2 linked regions of the Diceros bicornis minor genome follow. Each later gene encodes a partner of the first gene's protein in a complex. Links are inferred from orthologs where the notes say so. Each region holds a gene or a part of one and is shown on either strand. Other genes may lie near its edges.

The links.
Region 2: the proteins of FLT1 (region 1) and VEGFB are in contact, whole or in part, in a crystal structure (PDB 2XAC), measured with the Homo sapiens proteins. The link is inferred for Diceros bicornis minor from reciprocal best matches to the Homo sapiens genes FLT1 and VEGFB. Residues at the interface, in NP_002010.2 of Homo sapiens: Tyr139, Glu141, Pro143, Phe172, Pro173, Tyr199, Ile202, Gly203, Leu204, Asn219, Leu221, Arg224, Thr226; in NP_003368.1 of Homo sapiens: Ser37, Trp38, Ile39, Tyr42, Thr43, Thr46, Cys47, Gln48, Pro83, Asp84, Asp85, Gly86, Leu87, Cys124, Arg125, Pro126.

What each region holds. Positions count from the first base shown.
Region 1 is NC_080748.1:11,708,690-11,715,978, reverse strand, and holds the start of FLT1 (vascular endothelial growth factor receptor 1), read left to right. Parts: upstream 1-4,280; 5' UTR 4,281-4,565; coding exon 4,566-4,629; intron 4,630-7,289. UniProt on the Homo sapiens protein: Tyrosine-protein kinase that acts as a cell-surface receptor for VEGFA, VEGFB and PGF, and plays an essential role in the development of embryonic vasculature, the regulation of angiogenesis, cell survival, cell migration, macrophage function, chemotaxis, and cancer cell invasion.
Region 2 is NC_080770.1:8,750,604-8,758,548, reverse strand, and holds the start of VEGFB (vascular endothelial growth factor B), read left to right. Parts: upstream 1-4,943; 5' UTR 4,944-5,200; coding exon 5,201-5,260; intron 5,261-5,837; coding exon 5,838-5,880; intron 5,881-6,215; coding exon 6,216-6,412; intron 6,413-6,571; coding exon 6,572-6,645; intron 6,646-6,831; coding exon 6,832-6,867; intron 6,868-7,089; coding exon 7,090-7,303; coding exon of another isoform or gene 7,304-7,325; intron 7,326-7,917; coding exon of another isoform or gene 7,918-7,939; 3' UTR 7,940-7,945. Other genes in the region: uridine diphosphate glucose pyrophosphatase NUDT22, read left to right, coding at 4-97, 396-497; DNAJC4 (dnaJ homolog subfamily C member 4), read left to right, coding at 1,433-1,518, 2,606-2,699, 3,187-3,371, 3,454-3,618, 4,279-4,365, 4,454-4,562. UniProt on the Homo sapiens protein: Growth factor for endothelial cells. VEGF-B167 binds heparin and neuropilin-1 whereas the binding to neuropilin-1 of VEGF-B186 is regulated by proteolysis.

The sequences.
Region 1 (7,289 bases):
CTGTATGAAAAAGACTAACATGAAATATATTAAAGTGATCCTGGTGGCGATGTTGTGATGATAGAATTAGGATTCATCCTCCAGCCCTCTCCCCATCTTTTCATCTGTCTAAAATGTTTTATAACTAAAAGAGTGTATTGAAAATAACACAATACTTTTTCAAATAAGAGAAAAAGTCAATAGCTGACAGTTATATGCTAAGATAAAATTAACTTTCTGCAAAATTGTTAATTATAATGATTAGATGACCATTATCCTGATTTCCTTAGCCAACTTCTTTTATTCTGTTTTGCCTTTTCTCCTGCCCCAATCTTCTCTAATTATCTCAGTCTGGACCTTTTTTATTTTTTTTTTTAAAGTTTCCTGGAATACCTTGAATAAAACTTACCTGTCTTATTACTCTTGCTGGGACCGTCAATTATTCCTGAATATTGACTTGGTAAATGTTAACAAGATCGTATGCAACCTCCCTTGGTGAACATACGTCTAGAGATAATGACACAGAGAATACTTTGGTTTACTCAACCACTACAGATCCCTTCATTCATTCATTCATGCATTCATTCATTCAGCTCAGTCCTAGTCAATGATTTTGATGATGATCCAGAAGGAACATTTATCATATTTGTGGATAATTTGAAGCAGGAGATATAATAAATGCACCGAATGGCAGAATTGGAGATCAGAAAGATTTCAAAAGGCCAGAAAGAAGGATTAAATCAAACAAGAAGTTTAATAAGAGTGTGTATAAGGGTCTGCAATTTGAGTTGTCAAAAGCTGTGGCTGTACAAGTATAGCCAGATCACAGCTCTTGTGAAAGAGCCTCAGGGGTTTTAACTAAGAGCAAGTTCTCTAAGAGTCCAGGGTGTGAAGTAGCCGACAGAAAAGGCTCCTTTGATCTTCGGTTGCAGTAACAGAAGTATAGTGGCTATGTCATGGCCCCTGGGGAGTAGAAGGAGGTTCAGGGCTAACTAGGAGTCAGAGCTGGGGGACACAGCCTCAAAACTAAGCTGAAACCCTGAATAAATCAAAATGAGATAAACAGCAGCAGTGTCAACCTGCGGGAGGAACAGAGAGCCAGGCACACAGTGAAGCTTCTGGAGCAGAAAGGAGGGGAGGGAGGCTGTTCACAACCAGTGGCCCCTAGGGAGCTCCATCAGAACTCAGCGTCTGACAAGTTAAACCATAACTGTGCCTGCCTGCTGAACTCCACAGAGCTTGCTACATGAGGTTTGTGAGTGTGTGCGTCTTAGATCAAGGAACCTGCACTGTCAAGTGCATGTGTATTGAGGGGTGTTTTTTCCATACAACACAGAAGGTTTTATAAGATCATTTGGTTCTTGTAGCCAACCATACATATTTATGCTATGCAGTGTGTAGCCATGGAGTATATTTTTTCTTTGTTCTGCAGCTCCCTGACCCACGTGGGGATGAAATTTCTCATTGAGCCCCAGTGACTGCAAGCTGAGCAGCTCCACGCTTGGTCCCCTATGGGAAGATGAGGCCCTGGGGTCCCACCGGTCTCTCACACTGATGTTCCCACACTGTTATCCAGTCTTGAATATTAAAGCTGTTGGTTTTACTAACAGTGTGCCTCTGAATAGGGACTAGAAAGAATCCTCAAGAGAGTGTTTGCAGCTGATAACAGGAGAGAGTGTCTGGTTTTGCAGGAGATGAAATGTTCTTTTGTATGTGAGCAGGAAGCAACAGATAGTCTACTTCAATAGCTTTTTATACCCACCAGGCATGTTGAAATTGATCTTTTCCATCACTATTATCTATAAAACCTCTTTCGTTAGTGATTTAGTTAGAAGAATGCTGTAGCCCATTCTCATTCAAAGGTATTATCTCTTTTTGGAGGGAGAGTTGAGAGCCATACCTTTATTCTCACATCATTTTAGCTTAGATATTCACTTATCTAATGCTAAAATTTATCTAAGCTAAAATGAAATCAGGAACAAAACCTTGTGACAACTTGTAGCATCTTGAGTTCTTTGTGAGGAGAAAAGACATTGCTGAAAAGACATTGCTGACTATAATTAAAAGACTGCAACTTTCAAAAGAATAGTTGAGGAATTTGTGGAGGACCACTCAACGCAGAATGATTTTGGTATAAATTAAGTTAGATTCAACCATGATTCTTTTAACCTTGAATAATTGAGCAATATGTTAGTATTGTTGACTGGCATCTTAGACTATGAAGATTGTTTTAGCTGTGCAGCAAATACCTGTTCTGGCTTCACAAATAAACTCGACATAGGTTCATTTCTGGCAGCAGGTATGTGGAGTGTTGTCCGTGTGTTTAAGAATCAAATAGCATTTGAAAAGTTGTATTATTAAACTTTTGTAGGTTTTACTATGGACCACTTTCCCCCAGAGTCAGCGAAGTGTTTCTCCTGAGAAGCCATCCTGAACTCTGGGGACTGACCTCCTCTTCCCTGGGCCAGTGTGGACCCAAGCCCCCCCCAGCACCGTGATCCTTGCACTGTATTGTCATGGCCTCTTTACACGTCAACTTTCTCCCCAGATTCTAAGCCCCTTAGAAGACATCTCCCCATCACTGTGTTTTTGGTCCTAACACAGTGTCAGGCCCTGTGAGGTGCTACAGAAGGGCAATGCTGATAGCTTCTCCTTGGGAGAAAGCGCAGGAGTGACCAGCAGCTCTGAAGTGAGGCAGAGGGGCACTTTGGCTCTCCGGTGTGTCCCAGACTATGACCTGGGCTCAGGGACCAGTTGGGAGAAGAATCTGCTGTCAGCGTCCAGCCCTGCGATCCCTATTCACCAACTGTTCACGGAATGATCCTGTTGTTTTGGAGGAATCAGTCTTGAGGGAGGCAGAGAAACGGAGCCAAGGAGAGTGGTGAGGAGCATTGGAAAAATAGAAAGGGCTGATGAAGTTGACAGGCGAGCAATGACTGCGCGGTCTCCCTTTCTTCCGAACCATAAGGGGCTATGGCTGAGGTGCCCCGGTCCAGGTGCGCGGACGTGCGCTTCCTGCGTGGGGGAGCCGGTGGGGGACCTGTCCTTGCTCTGCCACCCAAAGGTGTGGCAACTTCGGGTTGCCCAACTTTCCTAGGTGGGGAGGTAGTCTAGTCCTTCAGGAAGGGGCTGTGGCCCGTTTGGGACCATCACAGTTCCTTTTATCATGCCCGTCTGGAGGGCACCTATTGAACTATTTTTCAAACCAGCGATATTTACAGAGACAAGACGAGGCTGCTCCGTGGAGCCTAGGACGATTTCAGCCTTTAAGATAATGAAAACATAATTGAAGAACAATGCGCAATCAGTGTCATCACAAATGATCTAGTGCCTCAAATTAATTTCAGCGGGTTTTGTTCGAAGAGCAGGAGAGTCACTCATCTTGCGTAGCAAGCTGCCATAAGAAAGATTTTTTAGAGCATTTGGGAAATAAAGTTCAAGTGCTCGGCCCTTACAAGTTGCAGGAGCAGTTTCACGCCTCAGCTTTTAAAAAGGTGTCATCATGTTATTCCTTGTTTTGCTTCAAGGAAGCTAGGAATTTAGGAAACGACTTGGGCGGGGGCATCTATGTGGCCGAAAAAGACTCATACACACTCCCCAGGGACCTGAGCGGTTCGCTGTCTTCCCGAAGGTGCCAAGTAAGCGTCTGGTCCCCTTGGGTGCTCCAGGTCCAGTCCCCCGTGCCGAGGGTCTCCGGCGCCATCCTAGACGTCTGAGGACAATCGGGGGGGCGGGGGCGGCTGGACAGCGCGGGAAATGCAAGAAATGGGAGGGAGCCGGACTGCGCCGGTGCCAAGGACACCGTCGCGGAGGCGCGGCCAGCTTCCCAATGATCGGACTTTCCGCCCCGGGGGCCGGGTAGCGGAGCTCCAGCCTTGTCCCCCTCCCAGCTTCGGGCGGCCCCCAGGGCTGAGTAAACCGGGCGGAGGGAGCCTGCAAGGATTTCCTGCGCACTCTGGAAAGGAGGAGGGGACGGAGGCAGGAGGATCGAGAGCAAGGACCCTGAACCTGCCGGGGCCGCGCTCCCGGGCCGCGTCGCCAGCGCCTCTCCACGCGAGCTAGCTCTCAGCCCCGACGCGCGCTCGGCCCCCGGCCACCCGCCCTCCGCGGCCCCCGCCCCTCTCCGCAGCCGTAGGGAATCAGGTCCCGGAGGAAGAGGGTAGGTGGGGAGGCGGATGAGGGGTGGGGGACCCCTTGACGTCACTGGAAGGAGGTGCCGGGGTAGGAAGTGGGCTGGGGAAAGGTTATAAATCGCCCCCGCCCTCGGCTCCTCTTAATCGAGGTCCGCCGGAGGCTCCGAGCGCGCCGGACGGACACTCCTCGCGGCTTCTCCCCGGCGGTGGCGGCAGCGGCAGCGGCTCGGAGCGGGCTCCGGGACTGGGGCGCAGCAGCCAGAGGACGCCAGGCTGCGAGGATTACCCGGGGAAGTGATTGTGTCCCTGGCTGGAGCCGCGGAGAGGGGCGCTTGGGGCGTAGCGCCGGAGCGCGGGCCGGGCGGCGGAGCGCGAGAAGACAGGCTCCGGCGGCTGGGTCGTTGGCCCGCGAGGAGCGCGGGCACCGGGTGAGCAGGCCGCATCGCGCTCACCATGATCAGCTGCTGGGACACCGGGGTCTTGCTGTGCGCGCTGCTCGGCGGTCTGCTTTTCACAGGTGAGGCGCGGCCCGGGCCCGGGGCTGGAAGGGGCCGCCGGGGGGCACACCCTGTGGGGCTGGGACCGGGTGCAAGCGGGGAGGTGAGGCTGCAGCCGCGAGAAGCGAGCCTCGGTAGGAACCTCGGACACTAGTTGCAGTGGGCACGCCTGGGGCGGTGGCGCCCCTTCTCCTCCGCTGAGCAGTCAGTGTGGGCCCTCGGAGAGCAGCAGGCGGGGGCCCGCGCGCATCGCCGCCCTGAACAGCTGCTGGCGCAGCGCTCGGGTCCGCGCTGGGGCTGCCCCTTTGCGGCTGAAGTCGCTGATCCTCTGCCTGGCTCCCGGGTCCGGTCTCCCGGCCGAGGCTCCTGGCTCGGGGCGCACCGCGCACCTGGACCTGCTTGACACCCAGAGCCTGCTCCCAGGCGGCCTGGCGCGGGTCTGTGGGGCCCTCCGGAGCCAGGATCAGCGGCTCCTAGAACGCCCGCGAGGCTACCCGGGGGCTGGGCTGAGGCCGGGACGTTGGCGATGTTGGGCACTGGCCACGACGTCGCGCCTCGAGAGGGAAGGAGGAAAGCCACCTTGGAAGGGGTCGCGTGCTTGCCGGGAGCAGACGGATCCCAGGAGATGGCAAACGCTGGTATCCTACCCACTTCGGGCCCCGGAGCCCGACTGTCCCCAGGAACGTTCCAGGAGCGTCCACGCCTCCCCGCCGCTCGTCTACCGCGGGGCTGAGCGCGCTGCGCGCAGCCACCCGGGTGGGGCCTCTGCCGCCGGTCCAGCCCAGGTCGCCGACCTAAGTGAACCTGACCGACGAGGGCAGCCAAGGACCCAAATACTGTTAAGTTTCTGAATGGCAAGCCTAGCCTTTAAATTCCGAGAGAAGAAAGGGACGAGGATTTAGACGAAAAGATGCGGCTTGAGGAATCGGTGAGGTCCGCCCCTTGGCCGGGCGTTAGAAAAACAGGCTGCGGAACCATGGGCAGCCAGGAGGTTACACCCGCCGTCAGCGTGGAGGCCGCCCCGTCGAGGCGTCAAAGCCCGGGGGGATTTAGGGGCTCGTCCTTGCCGTTTCTGCCCAGCGGGGATGAGTGGCCAAGCCCTCTGGTTCAGGCCCCCTGGGCAGAGAGAGCCAGATTTCGGAGCGCCTTTCTTTTAAGCATCGTGGAGAAAAGGTAAAATATGAAATAAAACAGTAACATAAATTATTGCAATGATTCTCGGGAAGGAAAGTCAGTAGGGTTGAGCATATTAGGAAAAAAAAAAAAAAAAAGCTTGTTAAACCCAAAAGTCAGTAACAGTGAAATATTCTTTCTCAGTGGGAAGACTAATTAGAAGTTTTAAAATAACTAGTAATAGTTCCAGTTAGGTTGGTAAAACTATTAAACCGAGAGGCAAGGCGAAATCGTAATGTCTGAGGACTCGCTATCGTTGGGAAAGTTGCTAAAATAACTATATTAAGTGGAATATTTTCTATTTCAAAAATACATATTTTTTGTTTTGAAATGTCGCTTATATTGAAATATAATTGTTTAGAGCATTTAAATAACTTGCTGAAGTCCATGCGTCTGTTATGTAAAGGTAAATCGAGGTCAATTACTGTGAATCCAAAAAATGGAGCGAAAATGATTGGATTTTCTTCTTCACACATACGTCTTCATTTTTGTTCAAAAACGTGGTTGACTAGTGCAGGATAGTTCTGTTATTGGGAGCAACTTAGATCTGTGAAGCCTTGACACACGAGTGAGATCTTGTGATTTCTCTTAGATTTTATTTTATTTAAATGAGGCAGAAATCGTGGCGCTCTTTTGTGACTTTTTAAAAAATTTACATACATGTGATAGAAAGAAAGCAAGATAAAATATTGGCAAGGTGAGAACTCCTTTACCTCCGGGTTTAGAGAATGTTCTATCAGCGGTTGGGCTTTGTAGTTCCCTTTGCACACCACAGGCTTCTCCTGCTGATTAACAGACATCTCACAGTAAAACAGCTACCTACTTTCTAAACTGCATCAGAGCTTTCAAACTGAACGAGGGGCTGCATCTCTGGGGAGTGGTGAAAGGGGCTGAGTTTCTGTCTGGTGGATTTATCAGAAATCCACTCTTCAAGGGCGCTCATGGGTGGGGTCTGCTCACCTGCAGGTGCTATAAGGTCTTTGAATATTTATCAGTTATTAATATTGTGTGTGTGTGCACTGAAGTGTAAAATAACCAGAGGTTCGGTAATACAAAAAGATAATGCATTTCTCCTAAAGAGTATATTTACCTTCTTCCAAATATCCTGGGGGAATAATAAGATGCTAGTAATTCAGACACTTTCAGGAGGACTTGAAAGTCCTCTATGTTGAGGTCTCTGCCTCTGTGAAGGATACCAGTCCTCCTTTTCTCCAGCTCAAAGTCTCATTTTCTTAATTTTAAGGCACCACACCCTTGATTAAAGCCATGACTCTTTTTTTCTGGCCCATTTTTCCTGTATTTTTGAGCAGCTGACACTTACAATTTGCTATAACTGGAAATACTTCACTTGTGAATTCTGTGAAGGAAGTCTACACTAATAAAGTTAAATCAAGATGTACGTGAAAATAATAGCCATTTCCAAATTGAATGTAATGTCTTTCATAATAAAGCTAATTTTACATAATAATTTTTAATTGTTTTTCGTTGTTGTTTTCTCCAAGGTTTA
Region 2 (7,945 bases), on another chromosome or scaffold:
CAGGTGCAGCCTGACTTCTGAGCAGGTGAGGAAGCACTACACGAGTGGGGGACCTGAGGCCCACGAGTCCACGGGAATCATCTTTGTGGAGACACAGGTGCGAGGTGGCAACGTGTGTCTTGCTTGGACAAGGAGCTGGGGTGGGGGCTTGCAGAGGCCAGGACTGCCCCCTGGGGATGGATCAGACGGAGGCTCCCAGATCTCTCAGAACTTTCCTCTGGAGCCCCAAGGCCTCATTGGGGATGCCTTCAGCCCAAGGGAGAGGGCCAGGGACCTGTTCAGCCCCCTCGACATGTCTCCCTAGGGACAGGGCAGTACAGAGGGCTCTGCGGCTCAGGAACTGGGCACAGCTCCTGCGGGAGACCTGAGGGATGTCTGGGTCTGTCTCCCCATAGAGCGTGCGGAGGTTGCAGGAGACAGAAATGTGGGCTGAGCTCTGCCCCTCGGCCAAAGGCGCCATCTTCCTCTACAACCGGGTCCAGGGAAGTCCCACCTGAGTCACCTTAGGGTCCCAGCCCAATCACTACAGCTCGGAAGACAATAAAGGACTTTATTCTTGATAAAGGACTTGATTCCTCTGGCATCTGCTGTTTCCGTGAGACCGAGAGGGGCCGCTGGGAGAGCCCTGGGTGGGTGAGAGAGACAGGACAAGTGACTTGGGGAAAAAAAAAAAAGCCCAGCCTCAGTATCCCCTCTGCAAGCTGGGAGGAGGGCCGTGCCCCCTTGCCAGGCTCTGGTGAGGGTGTGGGCCAACTATGGGGAGGAAGCTGCTCTGTCTCCGGCAGAGCGGAGGAGCAGCCATGTCTGCGGGACAGGGCGACGACGCCGGGGCAGAAAGCCTCACTGAGGGTCAGCCTCCGTCCCACTCGCCTACCCAGTGGGCGCCCGCGTCTTTCCGCACCTCCGCGGACCTTGCCCTCGGTGGGTGGGCCCGAGGCGCCAAAGGCCAATGGGCGGGCGGGGGCGGGGCCGTCGCATCAACTTCCGGGCAAGTGGGCGTGGTCGTGGAGCCTAAATCAATGAGAATGTGGGCCGGGGCCTGAATAGGAACAGGAAATGGCTGCGGCCGCGGAGTCCGTGAGCGCAGCGGGGGCGGGGCTTGGTCGTGGCTCCTCCTTGGCTCGCCCCGCAAACTCCCCGGGTGGGCCGGGGTTCTTGGCTTCCAGGGCTGGTTGTCCAGACGCGGAGGCCGACGTGGAGAAGGGTCCTGGACGCCGGGTCAGAGGCAGGGGACAGGTCCAGAACACTGGGGTCTGGTCCTGAACAAGGAAGCCCCACCCGCGCCTGGGTGCCCCGGCCTGCTTCAGTTTTCCTTCGGAAGTAACCCGGGCCAGGCCCCTTCCCTCGGCCCCCGGAGTGCGTGAAGTCTGGCCCATCCTGGCCCCAATGCACTCCTTTGTGGCTTCCTCTCCCCAGCCGCCCGCCTGCCGCCATGCTGCCCCTGCTGCCCCTGCGCCTGTGCCGGTCGTGGCCCCGCAGCCCTCCCACCCGGCTCCTCGCAACGGCCGCCCGGCAGCGGTGAGTCGGGCGCCAGGGGCCCGCCCGGTCGTTCAGTGGGTTTCTGCTGAGGGCCTGCCCAGCTCTAGGCCCTGCCGTGGGTGCCGAGATAGTCGTGATCTCTCTGCTCTGTCAGGCACCTTACAAGCTGTGTCAGGTAACCCTCACCTTCACTGCTGGGGACACAGGATCAGACATTAAGGAACGACCCCCAAGGTCGTCCAGCGAGTTAAGAGGCAGATCTGAAATTTGAGCCCAAACCAAACCCAATGCACTTTTCACAACTCTAGTGATTGGCAAGCATCACTGTGCATGACCCACTGCGGGTAGGGGGTGGGGGTGGGGGGTGGAGTTACAAAAATGCAGATTCCAGGGCCCTGCTCTGTAGATTCGGATCTGCAGGAATAGAGGTGGGGCTCAGGAACCTGTTTTTTAAATTTTTTTGCTGAGGAAGATTAGCCCTGAGCTAACATCTGTGCCAGTCTTCCTCCACTATATATGTGGGTCGCTGCCACAGCATGGCTGATAAGTGGTGTAGGTCTGAGCCCGGGGATCCGAACCCTCAAATCCTGGCCACCGAAGCGGAGCACGCCGGCCTTAACCACTACTCCACGGGCCGGCCCCTAGGAATCTGGTTTTATTTTTTTTTATTTATTCCCCCCCCCAAAGCCCCAGTAGATAGTTATATATCATAGCTGCACATCCTTCTAGTTGCTGTATGTGGGACGCGCCCTCAGCATGGCTGGAGAAGCAGTGCATTGGTGCACGCCCAGGATCCGAACCCCGGGCCGCCAGCAGCGGAGCGCAGCACTTAACCGCCAAGCCACGGGGCTGGCCCAAGGAATCTGTTTTTTTAAACAAGCTTTTCAAGTGTTTCTGATGCAAGGGGTCTGAGGACTACACTTTCAGACGTTCTGATCTGCACCATACCCGAAACACTCAAGAGGGGAGGGATGGTTTGCTGATAGCTCTCCCTTGACACCTGCCTCAGCCCCCTCAGGTCCTGGCTGCTGAGTTAAAGGGTGTGGCCCAGGGGGGCTGGGAGGGGCAGGGAAGGGCTACCCTCTGTGTTTCCTTAGCCCCTACAGGTTTGGGCCTCTCTCCACAGGTCTGGCCCCAGTAACTACTATGAACTGTTGGGGGTGCATCCTAGTGCCAGCACTGAAGAAGTTAAACGAGCTTTCTTCTCCAAGTCCAAAGAGGTACCAGTGGTCCTAGGTGGGGAGGGGGAGGGGAAGTCTGAGCCAGATGGGGTGCACTCCAAATTCCCAGGAATGGAGCAGAGTGGCTCATTCTGGTGGATGCCACATTCCCTCAGCATGCATAGGGAGTGGGAGGTGCCCCAAGGGCAGAGGTCTGGCCAGGTGGGGGGACAGGCTGGGTGCAGGAGCCAGGGGCCCTGTCTGATGGGCTTGGTTCTCTTGACTTGCCTGCTCTTGAGAAAGCCTGGACCAGGGCACATAGTGAGAGCTAGGCAGCAGGTGGGGAGGGCTTGAACAAGGGGAGCAGGCAGGAGTCTGTGCTTCCTGACTCTCTGGCCTTCTGGAGGGGTGGGCAGGCCTGAGAGTGAGGGTCACTGCCCAGGCGGGGCTTCTGGGAATGATCTGAGCCCTTGTGGGTAGACATTACTGGGATGGGTCCTGGGAAGGGGCATGGAAAGGGAGATGAGGGGAGTCCTGCCCACCTCAGCTGCACCCTGACCGAGATCCCGGGAACCCAGCCCTGCACAGCCGCTTTGTGGAGCTGAGTGAAGCATACCAGGTGCTCAGCCGTGAGCAGAGCCGCCGCAGCTACGACCACCAGCTCTGGTCAGCCACTCCCCCCAGGTCTCCAGGAACCACACCCTATCCCGGGTCTGCTTATCAAGCACACAGGTATAGTAGTCCTGCCCCCAGCTTGCCCCCCAAGTCTCCTGGGGAGCCTCATCCCCACACTGTCGCTTCTTCTCCCTCCCAGCAGCTCCTGGGCGCCCCCCAATGCACAGTACTGGGCCCAGTTTCATGGCGTGAGGCCTCAGGGACCAGAGTTGAGGCAGCAGCAGCGCAGACACAACAAGCGGGTGCTGGGGTACTGCCTCCTGATCATGCTGGCAGGCATGGGCCTGCACTACGCCGCCTTCAGGTGCACCCCTGGGGTCATGAGCAGAGGGTGGAGGGCAGGGGGAATCCCAGTGTGGTCAGCCGTCCATCCACACCACCCCTGTGGCCCACACTCTTGTGTCTCGCAAGCTAAGACTTGTATGAAATAGGTCTCTGGAGCCTCTCCTTACTTGGCAAGGCAGCTCGGCACTAAGGGCTAATGTCATTTTCAGTTTTTTATAATTCGAATGTAAATCTGTGGCACTGGCTGCCAGGGAGTGCTGGAGCTGACCAAAGTCAGGCACGAGAAGGCAATGCACTGTGACTCACTGGGTGGGCAGTTGGCTGTCTCCCCGCCCCTCTCTCATGCACACCATGACAGAGGTTCTACAGCAAAGATGCCTAAAGGCCAGTGTCCACTGAGCAGCCTGCCTCATTCAGTGATGGGGTGAGATGTACAGCCCTTTCTAGTCTCCTGCGAGGAGCACCCTGACATTCAGAGCTGCTGTCACCATCTTCAGCAGGATAGCCATTGGACCCTGGACAAGCCCCTGCCACTCTGTGCCCCTCTCCCCACCTAGCACAGGCAGTTAGGTTGAGGTCCCCAAGGATGTAGAGCTGTAAGACCCTAGAGTGGGGTGGGGGGGAGATGTGGGGACGGCAGGGATTGGAGGACCCAGAGTTAACTGTAACCCCCTTGCAGGAAGCTGGAGCAGGTGCACCGTAGCTTCATGGATGAAAAGGATCGGATCATCACAGCCATCTACAATGACACGCGGGCCCGGGCCAGGTCTGTCCCTGCTCTGTCCTGTCCTCGCTGTCCTGGCACCACCCTCCAGGGTCCCTGTCCCAACCCCCACGGGTGCTCTCTCCTGCAGGGCCAACAGAGCCAGGCTCCAGCAGGGGCACCGGCAGAGGCAGCCGCTGCAGCCATCGCCTGGGCCGCCCCCAAGCCCCCGGATCGTGCCCCCGGGCACCAGCCCCTGAGCCGCGCACCTGGACGGGGCCTGCTGTGTGTTCCGTCCTCGCTTCCCTACCGGGACTCTTCACTCCCCAAAGCGCGTGCAATAAAGTGCTTCTCAGAGCTCGTGTCCACCTCCCTCCTTCAGGCCCAGTGCCCCCCGCCCGTGCCTCGACGCGGGACAGCGCCCCGCCCTCCGGGATCTGGCGGCAGCGACCCAGGAGCCCGGCCCCCTGGGCGGCGCATCCCCTTTCCCCCGCTGCGGCGGGAGGGGGTGTGTGGAGGGGGCGGGCCCCGCCGGCGGCCTCGCCCCCCCGCCCCCGCCCCGCGCCCGGGTGGGGAGCGCGTGTCTGGGTCACATGAGCCGCCCGCCCGCCAGCCCGGGCCCGGCCCCCCGCCGCCCCCGCCGTCCCCGCCGTCCCCGCCGCCGCCCGCCGCCGCCACCGGCCGCCCGCCCGCCCGGCTCCTCCGGCCGCCGCCGCTGCGCTGCGCTGCGCTGCCTGCGCCCAGGGCTCGGGAGGGGGCCGCGGAGGAGCCGCCCCCCGCGCCCGGCCCCCGCCCGCCGCGCCCGGGCCCGCGCCATGGGGCTCTGGCTGCCGCCGCCCCCCGCGCCGCCGGGCTAGGGCGATGCGGGCGCCCCCGGCGCGCGGCCCCCGCGGGCACCATGAGCCCCCTGCTCCGCCGGCTGCTGCTCGCCGCGCTCCTGCAGCTGGCCCCCGCCCAGGTACGTGCGTCCCCGACATCCCGCCCGCCCGCCGTGCCCTCTCTCAAGGTTGGCGGAAGTGGGGAGGCGCGGGGCGGCCTCGGCCGGGGATCCGCGGGGTCCGGCCGCCGACAGGGGCGTCGCGGGGACCTGGCCCGGGCATCCCCCGGGAGGTGTCCTTCTCCACCCGCCGCCAGCCCAGCCCCGGGGCCACTCCCCCGCCCCACCCCGTCCCACCCCGTCCCCTGGGCGCAGCCGGGGGCGGGGCCGCCTCAGCGCCGCAGGAGCTGGGCGCCGCAGAAGCTGGTTCGGTGCCCACTGTGCCCCCTCCCGACCCACGGCCTCCAAAAAAGCCCGGCCCCCCAGGCTGGGAGAAGGATGCAGCCGGCAGAGCTCGCCTGGCGGGTTGGGGCCAGGGCAGGTCCCAGGTGGCCAGGACAGGCCAGGTAAGGCTAGAGTGGCCCCAGGAACAGAGCACTCTGGAAAAATGTCAAAGAGGAGGTGAAGCCTCCTGAACCAAGGGCAGAGCCCTGGGGACAGCAACAGGGCCAGCCCTTCCTAGGATGCACCTTGGTTATAGGTCTCTTCTCTTCCACAGGCCCCAGTCTCCCAGCCTGATGCCCCTGGCCACCAGAAGAAAGGTAATAGTAACAACAACTTTGCACTAGTCAGCACTGGTGGGCTTGCCACTGCCCTGATTCCAGGGTCTTTGTGTCCATTGTCTGTGTCATCACAGCTGCTCTGTAGGATGCAAACTCTGATTCTGCCCATTTCACAGAAGGTGACAGTGAGGCAGTGGGGTTCCTGGGTTCTGAATGAACAGGGCAGGGAAGACAAGTTGGGAGGGCAGAGGGGGCTAGTGGAGGGGGGCTGTGACATGGGAACTAGGGAGAGCAGCTGCTGGGCCGGGGTAGGGGAAGTAGGGAGCAGCTGCAGGAAACCCAGTGGGACTAAACCTTCATGCATCTGTCTCCAGTGGTGTCATGGATAGATGTGTATGCCCGTGCCACCTGTCAGCCACGGGAGGTGGTCGTGCCCCTGACTGTGGAGCTCATGGGCACTGTGGCCAAGCAACTGGTGCCAAGCTGCGTGACTGTGCAGCGCTGCGGCGGTTGCTGCCCGGACGACGGCCTGGAGTGTGTGCCCACGGGGCAGCACCAAGTCCGGATGCAGGTACTGGGGCAGGTGGAGCGTGCCCAGCTGGGGTGGATGCTGGCGCTCTGAGTCCTGGCTGGTGGGCGAGCTCCTCTCTCTCCAGCTCATGAAGCATCCCTTCCTCTCTCTGTCTCGCTGTCCCTCTCACCATCTCTCTCCCTGTCCTTCCGAGCACAGATCCTCATGATCCGGTACCCAAGCAGCCAGCTGGGGGAGATGTCTCTGGAAGAACACAGCCAATGTGAATGCAGGTGCCAGCCAGGCCCCACTTCGGAGCCCACAGAGACTAAACCTGGGGGGTGCTGGCATGGTGGGACACAGTGGGGACCAGGTGTCCCAAGAGTAGAGCCAGGGTAGGCCTGGGATCTGGGGCAAGAGAGTAGGATGTCCGGTTTTCCTCATCCTTCTCCTCCTCGTCTCTGTCTCTTACTTTTCAGACCAAAAAAAAAAGAGAGTGCTGTGAAGCCAGACAGGTGAGTCTCTTGGGCTCCTGCTGAGGTGGGTTGGAGCCCAGGCCCAGTGCCCAGGATGTAACAACGTGTGGCCATGGAGTGTGTCAGGAAGCTGTGTCCCTTCCCCTCTTTCTCCTCGCACTGGCGTCCCCCTCTCTCTTCCCCAGCTGTGTGCTCTGACCCACCCCCAGCCCCTGGGAAGACTCTTCCTTCCCGCCCCAGACATGTTGCTTCTCCTCCTAGGGCTTCCACTCCCCGCCACCGTCCCCAGCCCCGCTCTGTTCCGGGCTGGGACTCTGCCCCCGGAGCACCCTCCCCAGCTGACATCACCCATCCCACTCCAGTCCCAGGCCCCTCTGCCCACGCTGCCCCCAGCGCCGCCAGCGCCCTGACCCCCGGACCTGCCGCTGTCGCTGCCGACGCCGCAGCTTCCTCCGTTGCCAAGGGCGGGGCTTAGAGCTCAACCCAGACACCTGCAGGTGAGGAGTTGTTCGGGAAGGCATCACAGCCTGTCCTGGAGCCGGGCCAGGGTGAGCCTGCCAGTGGGAGAAGAACCAGGGAAGGGGAAGCTGTTAACGTGTTGAACAAATATTTACCCAGTGTCTGCTGGCACTGGGGTCAGCATAAACAAACTCACGTTCTAGTGCAGGAGTCGGACACGGGGACACGTGATGCCAGCAGAGGGTGTCAAGGGCTGGGGTAAGGGGAACCTGACATGTCTCTGAGAGGCCAGAGATGTCCTGGAGGAGGTGACATCTGCCTGGAGTAGAAATGAGATAGCTTGCCAATTTGCAAAGCTCCGGGCCTTCCTAGAAGCCCCTGTGGTAGACATTTGTCCCACCTTATGGGCTCTGAGAGGCCAGGGGACATAGTGGAACCTTGTCTGAGGTGCTTCTCACCACCCCTCCCTTCCACAGCGAGGCCATGGGGTGGCATCATGTGGGCCTGGCCGGCTGGGGCCTCCCTGGAGTGTTAGGAGAGAATGGGGTTCCCAGATGCTAACAAGGGGGTGAGTCTAGAGCTGGGCAGAGCTCTGCCAGTGCAAACAGACCCCCTTCCTCTCCTCTGCAGGTGCCGGAAGCTGCGAAGGTGACACATT